Linked DNA regions of Canis lupus familiaris. The protein of the gene in region 4 interacts with the protein of the main gene of each other region in a pairwise test. Links are inferred from orthologs where the notes say so. Each region holds a gene or a part of one and is shown on either strand. Other genes may lie near its edges. The genes, in order: CCDC33, PRPF31, AMMECR1, EFEMP2, ATXN1, NUFIP2 and STK16.

What was found.
Region 1: the proteins of EFEMP2 (region 4) and CCDC33 interact in a two-hybrid assay, tested with the Homo sapiens proteins (2 studies listed by BioGRID). The two-hybrid records come from large-scale screens. The link is inferred for Canis lupus familiaris from reciprocal best matches to the Homo sapiens genes EFEMP2 and CCDC33.
Region 2: the proteins of EFEMP2 (region 4) and PRPF31 interact in binary tests that used the Homo sapiens proteins (3 or more experiments, as listed by UniProt). The two-hybrid records come from large-scale screens. The link is inferred for Canis lupus familiaris from reciprocal best matches to the Homo sapiens genes EFEMP2 and PRPF31.
Region 3: the proteins of EFEMP2 (region 4) and AMMECR1 interact in binary tests that used the Homo sapiens proteins (3 or more experiments, as listed by UniProt). The two-hybrid records come from large-scale screens. The link is inferred for Canis lupus familiaris from reciprocal best matches to the Homo sapiens genes EFEMP2 and AMMECR1.
Region 5: the proteins of EFEMP2 (region 4) and ATXN1 interact in binary tests that used the Homo sapiens proteins (3 or more experiments, as listed by UniProt). The link is inferred for Canis lupus familiaris from reciprocal best matches to the Homo sapiens genes EFEMP2 and ATXN1.
Region 6: the proteins of EFEMP2 (region 4) and NUFIP2 interact in binary tests that used the Homo sapiens proteins (3 or more experiments, as listed by UniProt). The two-hybrid records come from large-scale screens. The link is inferred for Canis lupus familiaris from reciprocal best matches to the Homo sapiens genes EFEMP2 and NUFIP2.
Region 7: the proteins of EFEMP2 (region 4) and STK16 interact in binary tests that used the Homo sapiens proteins (3 or more experiments, as listed by UniProt). The two-hybrid records come from large-scale screens. The link is inferred for Canis lupus familiaris from reciprocal best matches to the Homo sapiens genes EFEMP2 and STK16.

The regions. Positions count from the first base shown.
Region 1 is NC_049251.1:37,823,362-37,827,372, forward strand, and holds the start of CCDC33 (coiled-coil domain-containing protein 33), read left to right. Parts: upstream 1-1,211; 5' UTR 1,212-1,627; coding exon 1,628-1,648; intron 1,649-4,011.
Region 2 is NC_049222.1:103,832,247-103,835,746, forward strand, and holds part of PRPF31 (U4/U6 small nuclear ribonucleoprotein Prp31), read right to left. Parts: coding exon 3,462-3,500; intron 2,509-3,461; coding exon 2,381-2,508; intron 2,301-2,380; coding exon 2,228-2,300; intron 1,765-2,227; coding exon 1,636-1,764; intron 1,541-1,635; coding exon 1,442-1,540; intron 99-1,441; coding exon 1-98. UniProt on the Homo sapiens protein: Involved in pre-mRNA splicing as component of the spliceosome. Required for the assembly of the U4/U5/U6 tri-snRNP complex, one of the building blocks of the spliceosome.
Region 3 is NC_049260.1:84,112,699-84,116,198, reverse strand, and holds part of AMMECR1 (AMME syndrome candidate gene 1 protein), read left to right. Parts: intron 1-483; coding exon 484-594; intron 595-3,500.
Region 4 is NC_049239.1:51,889,671-51,893,620, reverse strand, and holds the start of EFEMP2 (EGF-containing fibulin-like extracellular matrix protein 2), read right to left. Parts: upstream 2,801-3,950; 5' UTR 2,732-2,800; intron 1,925-2,731; 5' UTR 1,865-1,924; intron 1,538-1,864; 5' UTR 1,530-1,537; coding exon 1,419-1,529; intron 1,186-1,418; coding exon 1,137-1,185; intron 493-1,136; coding exon 286-492; intron 1-285. UniProt on the Homo sapiens protein: Plays a crucial role in elastic fiber formation in tissue, and in the formation of ultrastructural connections between elastic laminae and smooth muscle cells in the aorta, therefore participates in terminal differentiation and maturation of smooth muscle cell (SMC) and in the mechanical properties and wall integrity maintenance of the aorta.
Region 5 is NC_049256.1:16,756,517-16,759,127, forward strand, and holds the end of ATXN1 (ataxin-1), read right to left. Parts: intron 1,124-2,611; coding exon 593-1,123; 3' UTR 501-592; downstream 1-500. UniProt on the Homo sapiens protein: Chromatin-binding factor that repress Notch signaling in the absence of Notch intracellular domain by acting as a CBF1 corepressor. Binds to the HEY promoter and might assist, along with NCOR2, RBPJ-mediated repression. Binds RNA in vitro.
Region 6 is NC_049230.1:43,359,261-43,362,760, forward strand, and holds part of NUFIP2 (nuclear fragile X mental retardation-interacting protein 2), read right to left. Parts: intron 3,262-3,500; coding exon 3,229-3,261; intron 2,313-3,228; coding exon 2,221-2,312; intron 1,015-2,220; coding exon 1,000-1,014; coding exon of another isoform or gene 962-999; 3' UTR 1-961. UniProt on the Homo sapiens protein: Binds RNA.
Region 7 is NC_049258.1:25,668,216-25,672,406, reverse strand, and holds the start of STK16 (serine/threonine-protein kinase 16), read right to left. Parts: upstream 2,801-4,191; 5' UTR 2,706-2,800; intron 2,404-2,705; 5' UTR 2,300-2,403; coding exon 2,214-2,299; intron 1,625-2,213; exon of another isoform or gene 1,610-1,624; coding exon of another isoform or gene 1,601-1,609; intron 1,406-1,600; coding exon 1,186-1,405; intron 922-1,185; coding exon 788-921; intron 614-787; coding exon 493-613; intron 366-492; coding exon 270-365; intron 1-269. Other genes in the region: GLB1L (beta-galactosidase-1-like protein), read left to right, coding at 4,183-4,191. UniProt on the Homo sapiens protein: Membrane-associated protein kinase that phosphorylates on serine and threonine residues. In vitro substrates include DRG1, ENO1 and EIF4EBP1. Also autophosphorylates. May be involved in secretory vesicle trafficking or intracellular signaling.

The DNA.
Region 1 (4,011 bases), on a different chromosome or scaffold from region 4:
AATGGGAGGTGAGGCCTAGTTTTTCTGTCTTGAAACTGGGGAGGGCCACATCCTCCTTGCCTTTCTCTAGACTAGGGCTGCCGGGGGAAGGAGCAGTCCTCCACAAAGCCATAGCTCCTACCTCTTGCTGCCAGAGTGGGCCTGCTTTTGGTCCCCAGGCCCAGGACAATGCAAAGAACACTTAGTATGGGGACGCCTGGGGGAGCTCAGTGGTTGAGCCTCTGCCTTCAGCCCAGGGCATGATCCTGGAGACCTGGGATCATGGCAGATCGAGTCCCACATCGGGCTCCCTGCATGGAGCCTGCTTCTCTCCCTGCCTGTGTCTCTGCCTCTCTCTCTGGATCTCTCATGAATAAATAAATAAAATCTTAAAAAAAAAAAAAAAACAGTATGGAGTCTAAAACCGCTGGCCAGAGAACGAGGCAGGCCACAGGAGTCTTCCAGATGCCTGTCAACCCCACCTAGTACCCCAGATCTCACGTTTCCTAGCCCAGGATTCCTGGCCATGCTGCCTAGCATCTCCGTGGAGCCGACCTCACCCCAGGCCAGGGGCCAGCCACCCCTCATTCTGGCCTCTCCCTGCACAGAAAAGCACTTGGAACCGTGCCTGGCACATAGTAAGTGCTACGTAAAAAGAACGGTTATCTTTGTAATAATTCCTTACGGAGCTCAGAATTGGACTAGTCATAATACTGGGTCCATCCCCCAGAACATTGTTGGCTCTCTTCAGTTATTTATAATTTATTTTTGATGATATGATGAACACCCATTAACTGGCCGATGTAAGCGGCGTTACGATAACATACCTCCTTGATCCCCGTTCTCTCTGCCACCTTCCCACTCAGCCTCCAAATGAAACCATTTTCTCCAACGTTGTGTTTATGATTATTCAACAAATGAGAGACTACGGGCACCCAAAGAGGCAGGACGGCTGCAGATTCCTTAACCGAAATAGCTGTTAGCCAAGTTGTAACTTCCTGCGAGCAGGGTCTCAGCCTCCACCACCGGGCTGGGCCACTGGTGAATCCTGGTGGACGTGCAGTTCGGGGTACAAAGAGCAGGGAGGGTGAGGAGTGAGGGCCACAATGCAGGCAAAACCCAGCTCCCAAAACATGGAGAAGGGCTTCTGAGCCCCCACCCCACTCCACCTGGACTCTACCTGGGGGACTTGTGCTCTGCCCTGTGATGTCACACAGCGTTGCCCAGGTGATCCTGCCGGGGGGAAGAGCTCATAGCTTTTCCAGGCCTGGAGAGAGGCAAACCCCTGTCTTTACCTTCCTGGGGGTACCGAGAGCCAATTGGTTCAGCCGCTGACCCTATGGAGCTGGTCATGGCCCAGAGGCCTGAAGCCAACTGCACTTAAAGAATGTCTCGCTACTGAGAAAGCTCCAGGCTGCCCTCCTCCCCGGCCCCGCGGGTCCCCCTGCCTGTTACCCTGTCCAGGTCCCAGAGCCCGTGTATGGCACCCCTGAGACAACACTGACGCTCCTTACGGTACACCAAGCCCAAAGGCTCCAAGGTGCTCAGGCCAGCTGCCTGGACAGGACTGATGCCTGATTGCCCACGGATATCAGGTACTGGTCCCCAAGATCTGTAAACAAGGTCAAACACTCCTGCCCCTGAAGAGATGGGACGGAAAAAGAAAAAGGTGAGGCCTGAGGGCATGGGTCCTGCGCTTGCATGAGTTCATTTCTCCTTCAAAGTCCCTTGTTGTATTTGCTTCTAAATCACGACCAAAGCTTCCCTTCTCTGGGTCTCAGTGTTCTCAGCTGCGAAATGGAGAGCAAGGAGGTCTCTGCGATGCTTCCAAGTTAGGCATGCTAGACTCCTGGGCCACATGGGATCTGAAATTCGGCATGCTTGCAGGTGTTGTCAGCCCCCGCCACCCTTACTTCGTTGTCTCTGCCTGGTATCCCCATGACCCAGGGAAAAATGTAGCTTGAACTGGTACCTTCCCCTACCAACAGCCTGGAAAGGAGTTTTTGCCCCATTGTCACGGAGGCTCCGAGACCCCACTGAGATGGCTCCCCATCACCCTCCAAGATCGAGGAGATTCCCAGGCTGCTGCCCAAAGCTCCACTATCTTATGCCCCTCCAGCCCTGGCTCAGACCCTTGCCCCAGGCCACAGATGCTCAACTCCTAGAAAGAAGGGATTCTGGTCAGTTTTGATCACTGCTGCATCCCCAACACTCAGCACAGCACCTGACACATAGTAGGTGCTTAATAAATAGCAGGAACAGAGCAGCGAGACCCTGCCAGGAGGGAACGAAGATCCCAGTGCCGTGAAATGCAAACAGTTTTAAAAAATGAATAAATCTTTTTTAAAAATGCAAACAGTTTAGTATGAGGCTTCTCCTTACCCTCTGCTGACTGTCAAGGCAGAGCCAAGGCCCTTGACTGTGCCAAGTACCAACAGGGAGGGCAGAGTGAGCTGAGACCAAAGGCACCAGGTACTTGCTAACTTGGAATAGCCTCTTTGCAGTTAGACTCAAACCAAATAATCTACGTGCCCCACTGTGGTTTCTACTTTATTACCCTTGACTTTGGTGTCTGTGGTTCCTGGCGTTCTCTCCCTACAGCTGCCTCCTCCCCTTGACTCCACCCTCCCCCTTTCAGCTCCTTTCTAAATGTCAGGGGCGCTAAGTGGCCAGCTGGTCCTGACGCTCATTCCCACCTGCCCACCTGAGCTGGATTTGGGGATCTGAGGAGCATGCATGGGAGCCCTGAGAAGGACACAGATTTGTTTCATTTAATCCATAACTTAGTGGAACATTTTCAATGACTGAGTACAATGCCCTGTAAGGACGTGCATATCACGTACACGGTAGCGCACAGTCACATTTCTTCTTGCGTGAATCTTCCATAGATCTTAGACGTCAGTGCTCTCTGTGTAGTAAGGAAATTCATTCTTTTATACATATTGCAAATATTTTCTCCTGTTTGTCTTTCCTTCGTATCGTGGTGAATTGGTGGTTATCACAGAAGTTGGCATGGATATTTAGTGGAATCAAAGCGTCAGTCCTTCCCTTTATGAGTTGTGACTTTTGTGTCATCTTCGGAAAAGCCTCTTCTCCCTGAATAGCACAACTCCTACTGCTCCCACTAACAAGCACGGGGCTCCCCGGATCAGGAGCCCAAGGGCATATACGTTGTGGCCCATAGAAAGCTCAGCACATCCAGAGAGCAGAGCAGGGACGTCTGCGAGCTGAGCCGAGCGCCCAGATGCAAGTGCTTTTGCCTCCCTGAGCCCGTTTCCCCACCTAGGTTGTGGCCATCACAATCCCCAAGGAAGTTTAGATGCTGAAACTAGAAGGAACACGCAGGATCATTTTTTAACCCAAAACCTTATGACACAGCTGCAAAACTGAAGCAGGGGTGGGAGGGAGCATTTGTCCTGATGCAGGCGCCTCTCGGAGGGAAGCCTGCAGATCCTCATCCAGACGGAGGAAGGGGAGGCAGGGAGGTTGGCTCACGGCCCCCACTCCAGGCCTCACACTTAGGTCCTGGCCTCCCTGGCTCTGGGCCCAGCCAGCCCAGCGGGCACATGCCTGCAGGCCTCACCAGGAGGTGCCAGCCTGGCAGCTGGCCGCCTGCCCAGAAGTGAAGCCCCAGCAGTTTCCATCAATTCCCCCCCCACCCGCCCCGGAAGCTTGATTTCCCAGAAGGCTGTCCCAGAGCAAGTAGGGGACAGAGAGGGGGCCGCAATTCATGGGCCCGGTCTGCAAAATCACTGATTGGGCTCCGGGGCTACCAGAGTCAGTGAGAGCCCTTGGGCAGCTGCCGTGCTGCTGGGCCCTCACTTCTGGGGCCCCAGGGAGCTGGGGACAGGCCCCGTACCACACAGCAACAAGGGGGATGGGGCCACCCTCTTAGGCTGCTCCTGGGAATCGGGCCATCGGAGAGACATTAGTCATCTCTCCTGGCCTCACCGCAGGAACCATAGGCCGGTTACAGGGAAGACTGAATTACAACCATCCCAGACATCCCCACTGACCAGGAGGGAAAGTGAG
Region 2 (3,500 bases), on a different chromosome or scaffold from region 4:
CCCTTGACCTTGAGGAACTCGGCCATGCTGGAGAAATACTTCTGGTTGGCTTCAGCCACCTTCTTCTCAGCTGCTTGTGGGTTCACAATCTCTAGGCCCTGGGCAGGTGAATGAGGTAATGATGGGGTGGGGAGATGGGCTGGCCCCTGACAAGGCCCCCTTACCCAGTAAGAGAATTGTGACATGTCGGGGAGGCCCTTTTCAATGGTTCCGGGCTCCAGGTGATAGAACAGTTTTCCAATTACCAAATTGCCCCCACCCCAAACCTGGGGAGATTCTAACTGTGGCTCTGGGAAGAGGGAAGAGTGGGGAGGACCTGGGCATCTGAATTTTTATCAAGTTCTCTAAGCAATTTTAAAAGCATCAATGTTGGGCAGCCCAGGTGGCTCAGCAGTTTAGCGCCGCCTTCAGCCCAGGGCCTGATGATCCTGGAGACCCGGGATGGGGTCCCACATCAGGCCTCCTGCATGGAGCCTGCTTCTCCCTCTGCCTGTGTCTCTGTCTCTCTCTCTCTGTATGTCTCTCATGAATAAATAAATAAATAAAAATCTTAAAAAAAAAAAATCAATGTTTCAGAACAGCTGACCGGGTTTGGTTCCTGAATAAGGAAACTGAGTCACAGAGCTAAGTGGCTCACCTCTGGCCCTCGTGCAAATTACACCAAGCCTACTGGTGACACGGCGTCCAGCTGTGGGGGCTCCACACTGGCTGGCACCATTCCCAGTATCTTCCACAGGTAATTCTGACCTTCTTGCTGAGGCCTCCCTGGGCGGGTCCAACCCGATGCCTCACTCCCTCTCCCCTTTCTTCCCTGCACTTTCCACTTTCCACCAGGCTCCATATCTTATCTGACCCCTGCCACCCCACAAGCTCCCTGAGGGCAAGGCTTGCTGTCTTGTGCTTGTGGCTCTATCCCCAGTGCCTGCAACAGCACCTGAAACTTAGGTGCTCAGTACACCCTTGCTGATGTTGCCAATGAACTCAGTTATTCTACTCGATGCTATGGGGCGTGCTGGCGCTATCTGTGGGTAGGCTGAGAAATGGACAGATGCAGAGGCTCTGTCCTGTGCATGAGTGGCTGGGCTGGGACCTCTGCTTCCCAGCCAGCTACCTTTGAGTTTTCTTCCGTGGAGCCCTGAGGTTGTCCCAGCCACTTAGCACCTCAGGGAGGAGCTGAGCCCACTTGAGGTCATGGGGAATCAGTAGTCACCCCTAGTCCCAGCCCGATCCTAAAGCCAGCCTGCACTTGCAGGCAGACCTTTTCCCTTCTGCTCCCACTAGCCTGAGCACCAGGAACTGAGCTGTACCTTTCAGGGGCTTCACTGATACACAAGGCTGTCCACAACAGCCCTGCGAGAGGAAGGGGCTTGCCCAGGTCCACTCAGAAAGCTGGGAGTAGAGCCTGCCCAGAACTGGGCCTCCTGACTCAGGTGCACAGTACCTGCAAAGGGGTGAAAGCCACACTGGAAGCAGTCCCCGAGGAGCGGTCACGGATGGTGGACTTCCCGCCATACACGACACTCTGCTTCTGCAGGGTCCGCTGTGTGGAGGGGAGGGGACAGGATGTTTGGGCTTGGCTTGGGCTCTCCTGCTGGAGCTCCCAGACTCCCAGGCCCACTCAGGCCCCGCCTGTACCTGCAGTGTCTTAGAGATCCTGGCTTTGGTGGCCTCGTTCACCTGTGTCTGCCGTACCCGCCCGCTGCCTGATTTGCCCAGATGGCCCAGGCTGAAGCCCAGGTCCTCTTGGTAGGCGTCTTCCTCGATCTGGTGGGAGGGGAAGGTAACCAAGAGTTAGCCATCTTTCATCAGCCGGATGCCCCAGGCACTGACCCGATTCAGGTGCCTGCTGGGGCCCAGTGAGGAGTCCAGTCCTATTACGGCTCCCTGAGCTGACAGTTGAGGGAAGCTGTGAGTGTTCATGTATGCAGTGTCAACAACCAAAACTGGGCTTGCTGACTAGAGGGTGTTTGAGCTGGTTCTTGCAGGACCATGAGGATGATGCTTGGGTAATGAGTCTGGCAGAGGTGAAGCCTGAGGAAGGACCCTCCCTGGGCAGATCCAACCCGACAGGGAGGTGTGTACAAAAGGGTGGGGGTCGGGGGACAGGGCCAACACTGAATGCTGCATAGGTCCCTTCAGGGTACATGGATGTGGGGGGAGGCTGGAGGTGAGGTGCTGCCTCAGCCGAGAAGAAATGTGGTGGGGACATCCAGACTAAGGCTTTGACCTCTCCGAAGCTCATGCGGTTGGCCTGCTTCCGGATCTCGGTCAGCCCTAGCCGCTCCTTCATCTTGCGGTACCTGGGGAGGGGCGCCAGGGGTCAGCTGGGGTCACAAGCCCCTTCCCCTCCTCTTCACCCCCACTGGCCCTCAGGGCCTACCTGCGGCCACCTCGCTTCTTGCGCTGCCCGTCCAGGGGTGCAGGCAGGGGCTTCACCTGCTTCACGGGCGGCGGCTCCTGCCATTTGTCAAACTTGCGCTCGATTTCATCCTTCAGCTCATATCCCACCTGGGGAGGGCAGGGGGTCCCATTGAGCCTTGCCCATCCCTCTACCTGTGTGTGGCACCTGTTCCCAGGCCTGGGGGGCCTGTGTTTCTTGGGAGACTCAGACTTCTCCCAGCACCCCTCATATAATTCTGTCCTTGATGGGGGAGAAGGAGGGCAGCCCCCGAGTGCAACAGGGCCAAACCGCACACCTGCACCTCTTCCCCAGCCTCCAGCTCCGGCCTGCACAAGTTGGTAAAGGGAGGTCACTTGGGAGCCTCACCTCTGGCTTCTCTCCCTCTGGGCTTTTCCTTCAGTTAAGACCCCAAATCGCACCCCTCAGCATCTCTGCTACAGCCAAGGTCTCTCTGGGGCACACAGGCTCTGCGTGACCTGTCCCATCCCACAGCCTCCTCTCCCTGGCTTCCTGTGGGCCAGGCTCAGGGCCATTGCACTGGCTGCTTCTCCTTCCTAGGACTCTTCCCCCAGGCACTCACTTGACTTGCTTCACTTCACCAACTTGCTTCACTTGCACCAACTTCACTTGGGTGCAGATTAGACCTTCACCTTTGCAGCAAAGCCCTCCCCAACGTCCGGGTTAAACTCAACCTCCCTCACCAGCCCAGCACCCTTTGATCCCACCCTAGCATTTATGTGGCATCCCTGGACACACCACAGATGGCCCGTGTCCTCACCCCGCCCCCAGCCAGAACATGAATGCCACAGGGGCATGGCTTTGGTCGGAGTGCTCACTGCTGTCCCCACTGGAACCTCAACCAGTGGTCAAGAGGAAAAGTGGGGGGCAGTGAGAGAAAGAGACTGAAGCCTGGACACTGTGCCAGACTGCACAAGACAAGATATACCCACTTTCATGGAGCAAGTCTGCCAAGAGAGATAGAGGTAAACTCAGTGATGACCTGAACAATGACAAGTCTGGTAGAGGAGACAGACCCACACAGATGCCTGCTGTGCCTCACCTTCCCTTCTGTGCTCTCGTGGAAGCTGTCCACACGGGC
Region 3 (3,500 bases), on a different chromosome or scaffold from region 4:
CATAATACATAATATTCAGTATTTGTTGAAATTTGGGGGTTGGTTTTTTTTTTTTCTAAACTAGACTTAACAAATCAATCAATAACGTGAAGTTTAAATGAGGACTCAAGCTGTTGGGCCATGCTGGTTATGGCTTTGTCCAGGTTGTAGTTATTATTTCATTATATATTAACTGTGGGACTACCTCATCTGTAAAATAGGAATGTTTGTAATAGAATTACTCAGGCTCTTAGGGTTGTTGATGAGGATTAATATAATTTGTTTAAAACATTTATCATGCTGCCTAACATATAGAATACACTCAGTACATTCCAGATATAATTATTGTTAAATGCAGTCCCATTAGGCTAGACTCAGCCCCTTGGGGGCCTGTCATGTAGTCTTTATGTCTCAGGTACCTAACCATGCATATGATAAATATTCAATAAATAACTGTCTTGAGTTGAATTGATGGATTGACCTTATTTTTATCTCCCGTTACAGCCCACTGTTTGTAACATGGAAGATTGGTCGAGACAAAAGATTGCGTGGATGCATAGGTACTTTTTCTGCCATGAACTTGCATTCAGGACTCAGGGAGTACACACTTACCAGGTGAAGACCAATTTTTGTTACCTCTGCTTCTACGTTAAAAGAAAAAAAACTTATGAAACTTGAACCTGATACTTTAACTCCTTTGCTTTACTAAATTGTTAACATTCTTGACTCCTTTCACATCAGATTTTTCCTTCTCTTCAACATTTGCCTTATCCCTGGTAAAATTTTATTGCCACATTTTATCAAAATATAAAATACTGTAATTACATTGTATTTTGCCATAAATGTTTTAAAGTGTCTTCCTTCAAAGGCCAGCTTATTTTGTATAACTTGAAAATGGATGCCCAAAAGTCAATGGCTTACCACAATGTATTATTTCCTTAATAACACTGTGTCTTCTCTGTTAGGCTTTGTAAGAATTGTTGATGTCATCTTACATGTATTGTTGCACTTTTATGTACTCCTGCAATGGAGGGGAGAGCCTAGGAAGAAAGGGATGCCACAGCCTGGCAGTGTTATCATTCACATTCACACTTTACCCAGAATTAATTGTAGCTTACTTATTTTGTTTCGTCTAACACAAGGACAAAGTAATGAATGCCTCATTGCAGTTGTTAAGGCTTTGTTTTTAATTTCCAAACGCACAAAAAGCTATCGAGTATGCCATCTGATTTTTTTTTTTTTGGTTCAAGTTTAGATTTCTAGCAAATTATGTTCCAGAATTATTTCAAAAGAAGAAAATTCCTTAAATAATAAGCTATTAGTAAAGGAATTTCCTGTTTTTGTTCATATTTCAGGGTGATTATCTGATACAATTTCTATAGTTGTAATACGCACAAGTATCTGTCCAACAACAAATTGGTCCCTGCTGACTGTTGGTACTTGGGGCACATTGCTTAACCTCCAACAGATAAAGTAGTAATTACAGGGTTTTGTTCTATATACTTAGTAGGGATGTTAGGGAGGTGTTAGGGGAATGAAATAATATCCAGTCACTACTTTGCTTCTGGAGTAACATTGCAGAACATTCATTATTTTATTATAGGATTGTATAAATGCAGCTTGTGGTAGCAGTTAATAAAATATTGGTAACTGAGTTTAGTATTCTTTTTTTTGAGTTTAGTATTCTTATATTTGAAGGTACAGCTCACAACTACAGGGTTTTCTTAGCTTACAGTGAAATTGGAAAGAAAAGCAAAGGCTTGGAGGGTCACCCTCACTTTTTATATTTGCACAGGCATTAGAATTGAGTGTTTGGACTTGATTAAGAACATACAGGCAGTAAAAAGATCAAAACACGAATTCTAGAAATGACTTGAACTTGCCAAAGATAGCGTAAATGCTAGTCTAAGCAAGTTAGATTTTTTTTTCCTGACATGAAATACCATGGACTCATTTTGGGACTTTAGCAAATTCTGCCAGAGACTACCTCTTTGGGACAAGTACATACAAAATTACTTTTTTAATATATAATCAAAGGCAATTTATTACACATTTCCTAAAATAAGTTGTTATGAGGAACACTGGCTCCTTGGTTATTGCTTGGAAAAAAAGGATTCTATAGCCAAATAAAATTGGGGAACATTGGTTAAGCAAATTTAAGCAGCTGTGCTCACTGCAGGACTTCTCAGAACCTTTTACGTCAATAGTGTTGTGAGTCTCTGAGTGAGATCTAGAATGCAGCATTTCCCAATTCAACTCTTTTGACCACAGAACCCTTTTATCCTCCCACTCCATTCATTGTCTTAGGCCATTAGTATCCCAAGGAATACATTTTTAGAAATATAAGTCTGTCATAAAATTTCCATTTTTCTTTATAGTTGAAAAGTCCAAGTGGATAGTACAGAAACCCTTTGTACTTTCTAATGAAATTGTGGCAGAAATCCCAGTATCAAATGTTATATACTTTAGAAATCCTTAGTAGTAGTGACTGTAGTAAGAGTTTGGTTTTGTTTAAAGAAAAGATGAAATCTTTACCTACACTGATAAGAAGGGATGAAAATATTCAACTTTTCCGGACTTGTGGATCTGTCTCCTAGGGGTATTACCAGAAGAATTTTAGTATTTTTCTGACAATAATGTGACTCTGAATGAAACATTCAAATAGCTCAGCTTGGAAATTTGCCTGCATTTGTATATATGGTTACCTTCATTGTAATCTATGGTCTTCCTGTTTATTTTTCAACTTTCTTCTCATGTTTTTATACAACTTCCTGAAATGGTGTATGGCACAGTAGATATGTGTGTTCATGTGTGTGTATACACATGTACATACCTTGACTTTTTTTTTAAGATTTTATTTATTTATTCATGAGAGAGACAGAGAGGCAGAGACACAGGCAGAGGGAGAAGCAGGCTCCATACAGGGAGCCCAACGCGGGACTCGATCCTGCGACTCCAGGATCACGCCCTGGGCCGAAGGCAGGAGCTAAACTGCTGAGCACCCAGGGATCCCCCTTGTCTTTTTGCTTCTGTTTGGCTTAATTCCTTTTGCTTATATAGCAATAAGAATGTAGTTATTTGGAAGAGATGAACAAAAGAAAACACATCTTACAATATTACAATTGCTCTTTTTTTCTAGATTCAGCTTAGAGTCAAAACTGTGGAGTCATCTTTAAAAAAGTTGCAGCATAATATCTTTCAGCTAAATAGGAGGCACTTATCATTTCTACAAGGTGCTGTTGATGGTATTATTGATAGCTGTCATTTATTAAAACATGCAAAGTAAAAACTTTGTTGAAACTTCAGAGGAGCTTTATATGCATGTTACTTACAACTCAGGTATTAATGCCACATTTTAAAAATGAGGAAACTGCAGTTTACAGAATTTAAGTAATTTATCCACTTACACATCTAGTAAGTGGTAGAACCAGGATTCAAACCTAGGCCATCTGACTATAAAGTCCAAGCTCTTAATTACAACATTCAAGATAAGACAATGTAAGTTTTTCTGAGAAATTGTG
Region 4 (3,950 bases):
GGGAAGTGGGTAGAGGGCAGAAGCTAAGAGGCAGAGCTCTTGCCTGCCCTTGCAGTGTGTCTCTAGCAGCTGAGAGGGGGATCCAGATGCTGGCTAGAGCACTGAGACCAGAGCTGGGGCCACCTGTGGCAGGCACCTCACAGAGTGAGGATCTGGATGGCAATCCCAATAGCTCTGAAGAGGCTTTTGAGCAAGAGAGCAATTGAGGTCCGAGTTTTTAAGTTGCAGTGATAGATGCTTAGTAGGTGGACTGAAAGCCCTAGTGCCAAGGTGACCCTCACTCACCCACACAGCGCTCTTGCTCGTCAGGTTCATAGCCTGGTAGGCAGGGGTTGGGGTATTCAGCAGGGGGCACTGGTGGTGGTGGTCCCTCGCCATGCAGATCATTGATGACAGCGGCTGAGCGGGGCAGGCACAAGTAGCCCCCATAGTGGTTGATGCATTTCATCTCTCCCTTGCAGGCCTCGGGGATGGTCAGGCACTCGTTGACATCTGCAGAGAGGGGTCTGCTGGGCACAGCCGGTCTCCTGGGCTGGCTGTGAAGTGGGTGGCAGGTGGGAGCCCAGCCCGGCCTTCTATAAGCTGTGTGACCCAGGCAGGGCCTCCTCTCTCGACTCAACAAGCTAAGGTTCCCTGCTCAGAACCCCTCCTCAAGGCCTGCCTGGGCAAATGGTGGGGCAGGGGGCTATTCCCATAGTCAGCCCCATTCTCTTGTCCCCAAGAGGCTCTCTACCCCTCCCCATAGCCTGGGCCCTGGCTCAGCCCAAGAGTGACGGGCAGGCCTCCCTACCCACCCCGCAGACACTGTCCTCCCAGGACGTGATGGGGCAAAGCCAGACGGGAGAGTAGTTCGAGGTATCCAAGACCCAGCTCCTCTGGGCAGTGCCCTGCTGCTCTCCTGCCCACTGAGTGGTGGGGACAGGATGTCCCGGGCTTCTCTGAGAGGGAGGGGCCTGCATGGCTTCTCCACCCCTAGCTGAGCTGGCCCCCAGAGAATCAGAGCTGGCCTCCGCCAAGCCAAGCTGGGCAGAGGACAGGTCATCGGGCTCCCTGATGCTGCTCTTGGAGCTGAGCTTGCAATCCCTTTCCCAGTTCCTGGGGGTGGGTCAGTTCCCCAGTTCCCTGGGCACACTCACCCCGGCAGTGCTGGCTGTCGGGGTCCCACTCATAGCCATCTGTGCATTCCTACAAAGGGACCAGAGATGACCAGTAGTCATCCCCAGTCCCCTTCAGATGACCAGGCCAAGATCAGGGCCTGAGTCTGGCCACCCTCCCAGCCTGCTCCAAACAATGGCCCCCAGCTGCTTCCTACACCAATCAGGGGAGGGGACAATCTCCCCCAGCAGCAGCCACCCCAGGATCCTGATCTCTGTGTCCCAACCCAGCCCGGCCCAGGCCAGTGGCCCCACTGTCCCCACCGTGTAGCTGTCGGGCTCCTCCGAATCCTGGGGAGACGCTGCTCCCAAAAGCAACAGCAGCAGCGCCCAGAGCAGTAGAGACCCGGGGAGGCAGGAGGCGAAGGGGAGCATCCTGGGGGCTGGGAGGTGGCGGAGGGGTAGTGGAGGGAAGGGGGGTCAGGGCGCTTCCGCCACGCACCCCCACCCCCATTCCCTGTACCAGAACTCAGAACCCTGGCCCCAGCCGCCCCCCGCTCCGTACCGTGCCTGGGGCCCCGGAGCTTCCCAGGACCCAGGGCCCACTCCACCCTCAGGCCGGGGTTCGGGGCCCACCCGCCCGGGGCCGCCCCGCCCCCGCCCGGTCCCCCAGTGGCGCGGGCCGAGGAGCGCGGGCCTCTCGGCTCTGCGCTGACGCCGACTCGGCCGAGACTCCGGCTCGCGCCCTCCCCACACCGACCGCCACTCACTTGAGCCCGTGACGCCCCCGCGGCCCGCGTCTCCGGCGGCTCGGCTGGTTCGGGCAGTGCCTGCGGGCAGACGGACGGGCGGACGGCGCAGCTCCCTGGACGCGCGGCCCCAGGAAGCGCCCCCCGCTCGCCCGCCCGCCGCGGCGCGGCCCACCCCGGCGCCTCCGCCCGCCCCTCGGCGGATTCCTGAGCCCGCGCCAGGGGGAGGGACCCCGACCCCCCGCTTCTCCGCCCCCGGCCAGCCACAGGCCCCCACCCGGTCCCCCGCGGCGCTGCCCGGAGCCGCCTCCTGGCGCAGGGCCAGGGTCCCCCTAGATCCCCATCCCGGGTGTATGGCCTTGATGTCAGGCCCCCAAACTCACCCGAGAGCCTCTGGGCCCTCACTTTGTGCACCCCACTATGTCACCCTGCGCACCTGGACCCTACAAATCTGGGCTCCTGGAATTCCGCCCTGCGCACCCACAAATTAACGCCTGGGCCTTCACACTCTGCGCCTCCCAGAATGTCATCCTCGGTTCCTGGACCCCATCTAATCCTGGGGCTTCCAGACCCTCGCTCTATGCCCTGCAGACCTTTACTCTGTGCACCTTGTACAGTCATACTGGGAACACCAAAATTTCATTCGGGGGCCCCAGACCCTCGCCCGAGGACGAGACGCTCCCAGGCCCAGAACAGTTCAGGTGCGCCCCTTCTCTCCTCCATCCCTAGGGCTGTCAGCCGCAGGTGGTCCCTCCTCTCCTGGACGGCCTCCTCCCAACAATCGTTCTGCGAAACCACAACGGTTTGGGAGCGGGGTCTGCAGTTGCCTTTTGGCCCAGAATGAATGGAAGCCCCTGAGAAGGCAGGCAGGGCTGAACTGGCGCGTACCGGACGCCAGGGTCGGGTGCCAGTGCCCCAGCCGCTCTCCTTCCCAACGCGTCCCCACCCCCAACCTCGGGGTTCCAGCCTCCTTTCGGGAGCCGAGGGCGAGGGCGCGCCTTTCGGGGAGGAGATTGGGCGGAGTTGGCTCCCAGGAAGGGGCGGGGCCTCCTCCTGCCCACGTTTCAGGGCGGGACCAGACGGGAAAAGGCCGCGTGTCCAGGGATCTCCCGCCGGGGGGCAGACGAAGTGCGGGAATCGCTGAGCCCTCCCTTCCCCTTCCCACCCGGGGTTTAGCCTCACGATCGCCCCCAGTGCAGCCCCGCCCAGGGGGAGGGTGTGCTGACGGGGGCAAATGGGTCCGCAGGTCAGCCCTTGGGGTTCAAGGTGACTTGGAGAGTGCACCCCTCCACCCCCCAGATCCTTCACATCCACGGGGGCGAGGATGCTAAAAAGAATAGCTCTTCTAAACCAAAAAGACAGGCATTAACAAGTGTTGGTGAGGAAATGGAGAAATTGGAATCTTCCTGCACTGCAGGTGGGAATTTAAGATGGTCCTCTTTGGGAAACGGTGTGGCAGGACCTCAGAATGTTACATGACCCAGAAATTTCACCCCCATGTACATGCCCAAGGGAATTGAAAACATGTCCATACAAAAAGACCTATACACAACATTCATAGCAATGTTATTCATAAGATCCAAAATGTAGAAACAATCTAATGTTCATTAATTGATGAATGGATAAACAAAATGTGGTAATATGATGAAATGTCACTCAGTCATAAAAAGGAAGTACTGATGTGTGTGCTAAAACCAAGGAAGAATCTTGAAAGTATTACCCTAAGTGAAAGAAGCCAGACATACATCCTCATATTCCACTAATACGACACATCTAGAATTAGGCAAATCTAGGAGACAAATTCATGTTTGCCAAGGGAAGGGGGGACTGCTGACATGGTTTCTTTTGGGGGTATGAAAATATTCTGAAATCAGATGGTGGTGATGATTACTCAGTTAAGCAAGTACACTAAAACCATTGAATTATATAAAGTTTTTTTAAAAATTTATTTATTCAAGTAATCTCTACACCCAGTATAGGGCTCGAACTTATAACCTCAAGATCAAGAGTCCTGTGCTCTTCTGACTGAACCAGCCAGGCATCCAGTGAATTGTATATATATATTTTAAGATTTTATTTATTTGAGAGAGAGAGGCAGAGACACAGG
Region 5 (2,611 bases), on a different chromosome or scaffold from region 4:
AATATGTTGGAGGAAGGAAAAAAAAAAAGAAGGTTCTTTTACACGGGGAGCTTTCCACGGGCTGTCTGATGCCTCTCTAGCATGCCCTGCGGCGAGCGGGGTTCCTGATGTCGGCTTTGCACGGGAGGAGGACCTCACGAGGATGCTCCCCCTGGGGCCTCCAGTCCCGGGCGGAGGGCAAGAGGCAGGGGGGCAGGGGGAGGCCGAGGGAAGGACGGAGAGCCTCGGCGGCCGTGCACCTGTGCCCCCCTCCCCGCGTGCACGCGCCCACGCGGGAGCCCACGCGAGCCCCCCCCCCGCCCCCCTGCAGCTCCCCCGCCCTCCGAGCATCCTCGGGGCGAGCGGCGGGGGCTTCCTGGGCTGCGCGCCCGGCCCCCTCCACCTGCACCTGCCGCGCTCACGGCCGGGCCAGGCCCTCGTGGGAAAGCGCGTGCACCAGTCTCCTGCGCGACACCGGCTGTAACTCTAATGACAAGGTTATAACAGAAACCTAAGGAGGGTAACATGTAAATACTGTGTTATTTAGCCTACAGTACAGTAATCTGGATACAAATGAGAAGGGGGAGCCGAGTTTCCTTTCCCCGCGCTGCCTCTACTTGCCTACGTTAGACCGGCCTTCAATGCAAATCTTAACCTCCTGAGGAATTAGAGAAGGCTTAGGAAGAGTCAAAGGTGGCTCGTCTTCCGACTTCTCCAGTTTGCGGGTCTCCGGGGCCGACCACCTCCTCTTCCTCGTTGCTGCGGGCTTGCTGGGTTCTATTTTGGTGAGCAAGGGCGCTGCAGGCAATCCTATTTTTTCTGGAAACTTGAGTTCGCCATTCTCGGCCAGCATCTGGGCACTTCCCTGGTTGATGCCGTTCTCCTGCTCGGCGTACCTGTGTCTGCTGCCTGCCAGGCCGTCGCTCTTTGAGTGCTTCAGCAGGACGCTGGCGGGATCCACGGGCGGGCCCTTCTTAACAGAGCCGTTCCTCAGGTTCTTGAGGGTCAGCGAGATGCAGACGTCCCCAACGGAGAGCTTGGAGCACGGCAGGTCGAAGAGCTGGCTGGTTCTCTCTGGACAGCAAGATGACCAGCCCTGTCCAAACACAAAAAAAGGGTACTCTACCAAAACCTCCACGCTGACCTGTGGAAACAGAGACAGAGAGGAAGGAGGATGAGGAGGATGCTTTATTCTTGTTTTATGTCTTACACTGCCTGCCGCCTGGGCATAAGCAAAATGAGGAGGAAAAAAAAATAAGACTTCCTTCCACAAACCTCATCCACCAACACACACAAAGGAGGCTCTTAATTTTTGGTTGCACCAGTACTTAACCGTATATGGGTGTTGGGGGGAAGCCAGTAAAAGTCCACTTAGTGTTCAGAATATCATTTCACTAACTATGGGCTCTCTAGCCGGCCTCCTTTAAGACAAATGGATCCAGGGCCACCTGGGTGGCTCAGGGGTTGAGCATCAGCCTCTCTGGCTCAGGTCGTGATCCCTGGGGTCCTGGGATCAAGTCCTACAGCGGGCTCCCAGCAGGGAGCTTGCTTCTCCCTCTGTCTATATCTGTGCCTCTCTGTCTGTGTCTCTCATGAATAAATAAATAAAATTAAAAACAAATGGATCGGTCCCCAAGGACGCCAGAACAGGTACTTGGTGTTTAGTACTAAGCTAGGCTCTGCAGGGGACTCAAGCGAGAGCACAAGATAAAAGTCTTGCACTTTTATCAGCTCGCTGGACAAATGCTATTCTTGTATAATTAGGGATCAGAGTGAGACTGTATACAAGCTCCGGAAGGCAGCCCTTACCTGTTTATCGCTATATCCCTGGCCCCTAAAAGGGCACCTGGCATATGGTGGAAGCTTAATAAATATTTATTGGGTAAATGAGTGTGTACTCAAGAATCGAAAGGAGCAGACACAGTAAACAGAGAGGGCTTCCCTGTTTACCCGAGCTGAGGGCTGGGCAGCATTTGGAGAGGTTTGAGGGGTGGACAATGTTGGGGAGATGATAAAATTTAGGACACAGAGAGCTCAAGTAGTTGGCCCATCCAAGGTCAAGCACCAGGTACTCAAATCAGCCCGTGCATTTGTTTGAAGATAAATACCAAAAGTGGGGAAGCTCAATATCCTCTCAATAGGTTGCTCTCTTCTCTATCATCATGTGCAACCTGTGTATTGTGCTAAGGAAATAAACGGAAAAAGCCAGCCCTAGTCCTAGTCCCAAAGTAGCTCACAATCGGTGGCCAAAAGAGACACATGAACATAATTGCCAATCAACACGGTGAGTGGGGTTATAATACTTTAATACCAGTATCAGGTTGTTGGAGGGCAGAGGAAAGGCACAGACCAGTTTGAAGAAGAGGTGATTAAGGGAGTTTTCTTGGATGAGGATACACTGTGCTGAGTTTTCAAACATAACGGGGGTGGAGTACAGGTGCGGTTGCAATGGGAACCCACTCTTGGAAGCGGAGATAGGTGAGCATAGGCAAGGAGATAGTGTCCAGTGAAAGCCCTACCGTTGCCATTGAATTAGGTTGAAATGCACTTGAGGTTCTAACAGTTTAATTTTCATAGAAATTTATTTTCTTCAACTTTATGCTATATAAAAAAGAAAAAGAACAATGAAGTA
Region 6 (3,500 bases), on a different chromosome or scaffold from region 4:
ACAGCACATTTAGTGTTAGTGACAGAGAGCAAGTCTGGAGCACCTACAGTTGAAAAGCAGAATATATTTTTGCTCCCACTTATACAATTACATTAAAATATGGGCAAAGGAATATTTTTTCATATTAAATCTCTAAAGCCAATTGTTTGTTCTGTAACTTTTCTTCAAATGACATTCATGGATTCTTCACTTGTTAAAGTCCATGTAACCAAAGCCAAGTGAACTATGTACCATCAACTATTCCAGAATTATAGAACTTCAATGCCCTCCCCTAAGCCCACCCCACAAAAAATAAAAGGAAAAGAAAGAAAGAATTTCCCCAACACCCCACAGAGGCTGCTTAACTCCTGGCAAGACATGCAAATCATATTCGCTAAAAAAATACACCCCTGCAAACTTCAAGGCATTTATCCAGCATTCTCGCAGGGCTCAAAGTATAACCAAAAGATCAAGGGAGGAGTGGGGGGAAAATGTTGAATCATTCTGGGTTCCCCGTGATTAGTGTATCACTTTAGTCACAGAACAAGATACAGATCTTTTAAAAGTGGATTTGCCTTTCCAGTGGGTCATTTCTTGCCCAAGTTGATGACAGCAGGAACTTTAGAACCACGCTTGTTAATAAGTCTGTATTCATTAATCACTTGCATTCACACTTAAAAACAAAAATTAACAAAAGAAAAAAGAAAAAAAAAAAAAACTATTCAGTACCGGAGATTAAATAACCATGTGTAGTCTCTTGAAATAAATTTGATTCCTTAAGAAGTCTAATTACTTTCAGTTGCCTTTTTTTTTTAAATAACTATATATATATATGTATATATATATATTTGTATATATTATCCTGTGATTCTACTTATGGTTCCTCTGCTGCGTTGAAGATCTAGGAGCATAAAAGCCTTGTGTCCCCCATGAACGGTGGCTCTAATGCTGCAGAAAGGTTACAAATAGGCAGTCTGGTCCTTCATTGATCTGGACTATCCATGGCTTCATTGTAAGTGATTATCCTTTTGGGATCTGGGGAGAAGGTTAAAAAATACATAAATAAAACTGAGATCTGAAATGCCAAAATGCCCATATTCCAAATAACAAATCTCAAATAACCATCATCATTTTAGTTGGCTCCTTTTATATAAACACAAATTAAAGACCACTTCTTTGGGGCGCCTGGGTGGCTCAGTTAGTTAAGTGTCAGGTTCTACCTAACTCAATTTTGTCTCAGGTCATGTCAGGGTTGAAATCAAGCCCTGCATTGGGCTCCATGTTGGGCTCTGTAATGGGTGTGAAGCATGCTTAGGATTCTCTCTCTCTTCCTCTGTCCTCTACCCCTAAAAAATTAAAAAATAAAGACTTCTTTGTATTAATACATAAATGATCTACTTTTCCACAACCCAATAGTTTGACATCCCAAAGGATTTCCAGAACAGGGTTCTCTAGCCAGTGAGGGCTTCAACTCCTATGGATTAGAAAGGGGTTGAGTTCAGTTGACAAGTGACAAGGGTTTATGTGTTTCTCCCAATTATAAAAGCCTTATTAAATTGTCAATAATTCAATACTAAAACAAATACTTGGACTTTTTTTTTTTTGTTCTTTTCAATAAAATGAAGTCAAAATTTAATTTAACCTGTGTGGAATGTCTAGTAAGGAACTGTTCAAGTGACATCTAGCACCAAACACTTCAGGTTAAGTTTGGCCAGAACTGGAAGTTCAGTCCTAATCATGACATATTTCTTCCTTCCTCCAAATTTCCCATTTCTCAGCAACATGTATAAATAAAGATTCCAATGTTACTCTAAATCCCAATTATTTAGCTATATGCTTCCTTCTTCAAGAGAGGCAGTAATTTTATTATGTACCATTTCTACCTATCATAAGAACTTAAAAAAAAAAAAAACATGCTTTTAATAAAAAATAGGAAACTAATAAAACTTGTCACTTAATGGAAAAGTATAAAGGCCTAAAAATAGTAATAAAGATCTCAAGCTCACCTCAGCCTGAGTCAATCTAATTTAGTGCAGAGATAATATCCTTTCTAGGACTACAATAGCCACCCTATAACAACCTGCTATGAAGATAATGCTCATTCTAAATAGTTAATAACCATTTTACAGTAAATATAGGGATGTCTACTTTTGCAGATATTATTTTCTAGTCTACCTTTTTTTCATTTTCCTTTGAATAAGGCACACAGAAAGAAACTCAAAATAAGATCTTGCTAGTTACCTTCAGACCACAGCTGTGTTGGACAAGTAAGACCTGCCCTAAGTACAAGGGAGATGGAAGGAGGAGCAATGCTGGGAAATCAGGGAAACCTACTTTAAAAAAAAAAAAAAAGATTTTATTTTTAAAGTAATCTCTATACCCTATGTGGGGCTCTAATTCACAACCCCGATCAAGAGTCTCCTGTTCTTCCAAGTGAGCCAGCCAGGCGCCCCCAAGGAAACCTACATTTAATTTTGCCACTTGCTAGCTACACAGTGACCTCTCTCACTTGTATTAGCTAGCAAAGTGGATGGAAATGGATGCAATTCAGTCAGGATTCTAAAAGCCCAATTCTATTAGTGACTATTTCTCGAGACTGACACTTAACTTTATTTCGGGTATTCCACAGCTACTGCATTTTAATATATTTGGAAAAGCACACAATAATGAGGATAAGCAATGTAAATTTTTTGAAAATTCTTAACAATTCAGATGTGGATCATTCAGTCCCTCCGCCTTCCTACTATTCATGTCTTATACATGTGGTTCGTGAAGGAAGCTACTTTGCTCTTTAGATTTTTAACCATCTATTACTTTGAAGCACAAATGAGGCTAGTCTAAAATAGCTAATAATAATAATAAAAAAAAAGCTAATATTTTTCTGAACTATTTCAGTTCAGGCTACCACTTGTCTACCACAAATACAGATAAAGACTGACTATAAGTGGAAACATTTATGCTGGTTTCCTATATTAAAAGTATTTATGTTCTGTCTTACTTTCATCATCAGAGGGGAAAAAATTCATGTTCTTCACCTAGAAGGTGAAGACTATTTTCATATACTCTTTTCACTTACAGTGTTACTCCATCTTTAGCAATCCTGGTATAGCAGCCATGTCTTTTAACTGCATTTATTAAATAATTCAAAATACAAAGCCTAGTCACTTAGTGAAATAACACTAGATTATTCCCACCCAAACATACACTAGTCATTAGTACTAACATTTTAGGTAACCTAACCATTCTTACCTTGCTTCTGCAAATTCCAAACAGATTCCATTTCTGCAAAGGAAAAAAAAAAAAATTTATATGCTAAGTTTTACAGAGCAAAATTTAAAGCTACACTTTTCACTTTAAACCTAAAAAAAATCGGGCAGGCCCGGTGGCTCAGCAGTTTAGCGCCGCCTTCAGCCCAGGGCCTGATCCTGGAGACCCGGAATCGAGTCCCATGTCGGGCTCCCTGCATGGGGCCTGCTTCTCCCTCTGCCTGTGTCTCTGTACCTCTCTCTCTGTCTCTCATG
Region 7 (4,191 bases), on a different chromosome or scaffold from region 4:
GCTGGAGGCTTCTGCACCCCCTGCTTGCCACTGCCTTCAGTCCTGACACTTAGCTGTACTCATTCTGTTCAAAGGGAGGAATGATACCACTTCCTGAGCAATTGAGTACAGTGTCAGTGACGGTTCCCAGGAAGGAAGTCGAGGGGGATGGGGACATACACGGTTCCTGGGGCCCCATGCAATCGAAACCAAAGACCTGCCCCTCTGCTGCACAGCAGGTACAGAGCGGTACTCCTCCCCATCCATGTGCCCCCCCACATGCTCCTCACCCAGACATCAGTCCGCTCATCAATGACACAGTGGCTCTGCACGGAGAAGAGCTCTGGGGCGCGGTAGGAGATGGTGCATCGCTGGGCTGCCCAGTCCTGGAAGAGTGGCCCCATAGCTCAAAAGAGAGGCACAGGTCATAGTCATGTGACCAAACTGGGGCATGCAACAGGAAAGGCTGAGGATGGGGAACAGGAGGGCAAAGGAACCTGGACACTCTTTTACCTGCAGGGCCAGAGCCTGGCGGGAGCCTTCCACATGGATGCAAGCTTGATTCATGGAACCCAAGTCCATTAAAACTGGCTGCCCCTCATCTCCAAGCAAGATATTGGTGGGCTTCAGGTCCCTGCAGGAAAGTGGAAATAAATGGCCCATGAACATCCCTGGATAGGGAGACTAGAATCCCTGGGGGCAAAAGAATCATGGGGACTGTTCCTTGGGAGGAGAGCAGAGACCACTCAATCCTTTTGGTGAGGCTCTTTCTTTCTGCCCCATAAGCACACTGGGCCCTCCCACTGACCTGTGGGCATAACCTCTGGCATGAATGGCCTCAAGGCCTCTGCAGATACCCAGCAGCAGCTGAAGGATTTGATCTTCAGTCAAGAAGTTGCCTTTGTCCTTCAGCCTTTCTATCTCGTTCCACAGCGTACCCCTCTGCAACACAAGTTTCCCCACGGTTGGACAGGTTTTCTGGGTCTCTGCTCCCTCAGCCTGATCCCTTCCCTGTGTCACAGCCTAGCAGCTCTTTCACCACACACACTACACACCTCACAGTCCCACTTGGGTTCCCCTAAACCCCAAATCTGAAGCGGTCCAACACAGGACATGGTCTCTGCTTCCTAACGTGCTTGGCTACTCACACAGCCCTCGGTAGATGACTCTGTTGCAAGCCCCTCCATTGCCAGGAGACTTTCTGACCTTGAAGAAGGGTAGCAGCAGCCAGGCCTCATGTTTAGTGCCCCGCTCCCTCAGACAATAAGCCACAAGGCGGAGGATGTTGGGGTGATGGAAGAGGCGATGCATGTCTGCTTCTCGTTGGGCTTCCTCCCGATCCTGCTGCTCGTGACACAGGATCCGCTTCAGGGCGTAGAAGTGTCCATCATGTAACCCCTCCACTAGGTCCACATAGCTGAACCCACTGTGGGCCAAAGGGGTCAGTGAAGGACCACGGTCATCTCCCACACTGCTTGGACCCAGAGGAACTCCCTGGGTGGGGAGGGGAGGGGGTGTCTTTCCCAGTCAGCAGAAACCCTCCCAAGACGTGGCTTCAGGAGAAGTCTGAAGATTTTACACTTTGAGCTCAAGGGTAGGAACACAGCAATCTTTGAGGTACCTTGGTCATAATGCACAGCTCTGCACGTGACAAATGCTCCGGAAATGTTACATGAGTAAGTAACAGTCAACATCTGTCAAGTGCTGTGAACCGGGCCCTGGGTGAGATTATTATTATTATTTTTTCTCTTTTTGGTGAGATGATTTCTATGCACTATCTCATTTAATCCTCACAACTCCATCAGCGACAAAAGATAATTATCTCCAGGGCAGCCCGGGTGGCCCAGCGGTTTAGCGCAGCCTTCAGCCCAGGGCCTGACCCTGGAGACCCAGGATCGAGTCCCGCATCGGGCTCCCTGCATGGGGCCTGCTTCTCCCTCTGCCTGTGCATGTGCGTGTGTGTGTGTCTCTAATAAATAAAATCTTAAAAAAAAAAAAAAAAAGATGATTATCTCCATTAAGCAGATGATGAAACCACGGCTTAAGGTCACACCAGGTGGAGCCAGGAGGCCTGGCTCCAGAATCCACTTTCTTGGCATTCGGGTTGCTAGGCTCTGTCAGGGGAGCTAAAGGATGCTTTACAAGGATGAACCTCCTGAGGCCCTATCACGTGCAGACTGCTGTCCTTCACTCACCAGAACCCTGGGGGCTGGCTAGGCGATTTCAACACTCACCCCTCCCCCAGTTTCTGGATGAAGAGGTAGCGCTTGTTGTCAATGAGGACGGTTCCCCGGGAGCAGACACACAGCGCGTGGCCCATAGCGCCTCAGTCATCCTCCTCAGGGGCGGTCCGGGGCTGCCGACGGCCGCGTGCGGGCTGAGGGGGCTCTTCCAGGCGACGCGCTGGGGGCCCCGCGGATCATGCTGGAAGGCAAAGGACGGCAGGGTCGTGGGCCAGGCACGACCCCCGAAGTGCCGACGTGCAGAGCTGGCGCCCGGGCCTCGGAACGCAGAGGAAACGAGCCTTGGCGACGCCGGCTCGGGCACGGCCGAGGTCGGGTGCCCTGGAGCCTCGGGCCACGCCGCGACGCCCAGGCCGCGTCCTCGCCGTCGGGCCGCCTCGGCAGCCGCGGAGCGTGGGGGCGAGGCCCGGGCCCACCCGGCGGGGCCCGCCCCGGCCTCGGCGCGCAGAGCCCCGGGAGGGCCGGCCCCGACTCCCCACTGACCTGGCTCCGGCCGGAGACGAGCGCCGCGGACCGGAAGGAGCGTCTACGTCATCAGGCCGCGCCGGCGTAACGGCCCGCGGTATCCTAGCAACCGCAGGGCATCCGGAGGATGTGGGGGCGCGGAGCTGAGAGGCCGGGGGCGGGCTAAGGCGCGGGGGAGCACGGGTCCCGGGACCCGGTGAGGGTTCCACACCAGGCCTTCAGTAGTGGGCAGGACGCAGGCACCCGCGCCCAAGGGGAGCAAAGCCGGGCTCGGCCCGAGGCCCCCCAGGCCCCCCGTCTCCCAATGCCGGAGGTAGGAAGCTGCAGTCCAGCCCCGAGGGGCGGGGGCCGGGCGGGGGCCGGCGGCCTGGACCCCCACAGCGCCGATCGGTGCACCCTTCGGGGCTCAGGCCTGCATCCCACTACCCTAGTTTCAGTGGTTAAGAGCTTACTAGCTGCGTGACCTTGGACGACTTAACCTCTCAGAGCCTCGGTTTCCCCAGTTGTAAACAAGCTCTAACAGTACCTAAGGTTAGGTGCCCGTACGGGGAGGCCAGGCTGCAGCTCCCAGCTCTGCTAAACTAGCTGCGTGACCTTGAGCAGACTATTTAAAATTTCTGCCTCTCAATTCCCTCATGGGTAAAATGGGAGTGATAATTACCAACTGCACGGAGCTTTTTGAAGATGAAGTGAGATGTAAAGTGCTTAGCACACTATCTGACACAGCCTTGGTGTCAATAAATAGAAGTTGCTGTTATTTTTATTATGATTCTATTTTTCTTATCCTGGTCCTTACATCCCAGGCTTGGGATTGTGAAGGCAGGAGTCATGGAAATTCATAAATTCCCAAGCCTTGGCCCCAGGTAGTTGTTCTTGACAGCTCTCGCTGAGGCAGGGCAGGGATAAATTGAAGAGCGGTGGACATCCAAAGAAGACAGAATGGCTGAGGTGGTCTCTTTTGCTGTAGCAGGGCCACTAGGAGAAAAAAAAAAAAATCCCATTTATAACTTGGTTCCTACTTTCACACCACTGGGAAGATTGATTCCGAACCTGTTTTAGCCCCCTGGTTCCGACATTCATTCATCTAGATTTAACCTGCTATGTACCGAGTCCCGTGCTAGAAGCTGAGGATGCAAGATGGACAAGGTACTCTTCACCCTCAGGGAGCTCAGTTTAGTACCACAGTGCTTCTCAATCTTGAATGCCTTTCGGATCGCCTGGGAATCTTGTTAAAATCCAAATTCTGATTCTAATAGGTCTGAGGTAGGACCTGAGACTCTGCATTTCTAACAAGCTCCCAGGTGATGCTGATGAAGCGGATTCAAGATGTAGAGGATCTTACAAACTAGTAGAGTAGCGCGGGTGGACAAGTCCAGGCTAATTGCCTGGTGACTTGAGGTGGTCTCCGCCCCCTTGCTCGCTGAGGTTCCCTCCCAGGAATCCACCACGTGACAGCCGGACCGCCCTCTCTGAATAGAGGAGCCCTGTTAGCGCCATGGCTCCC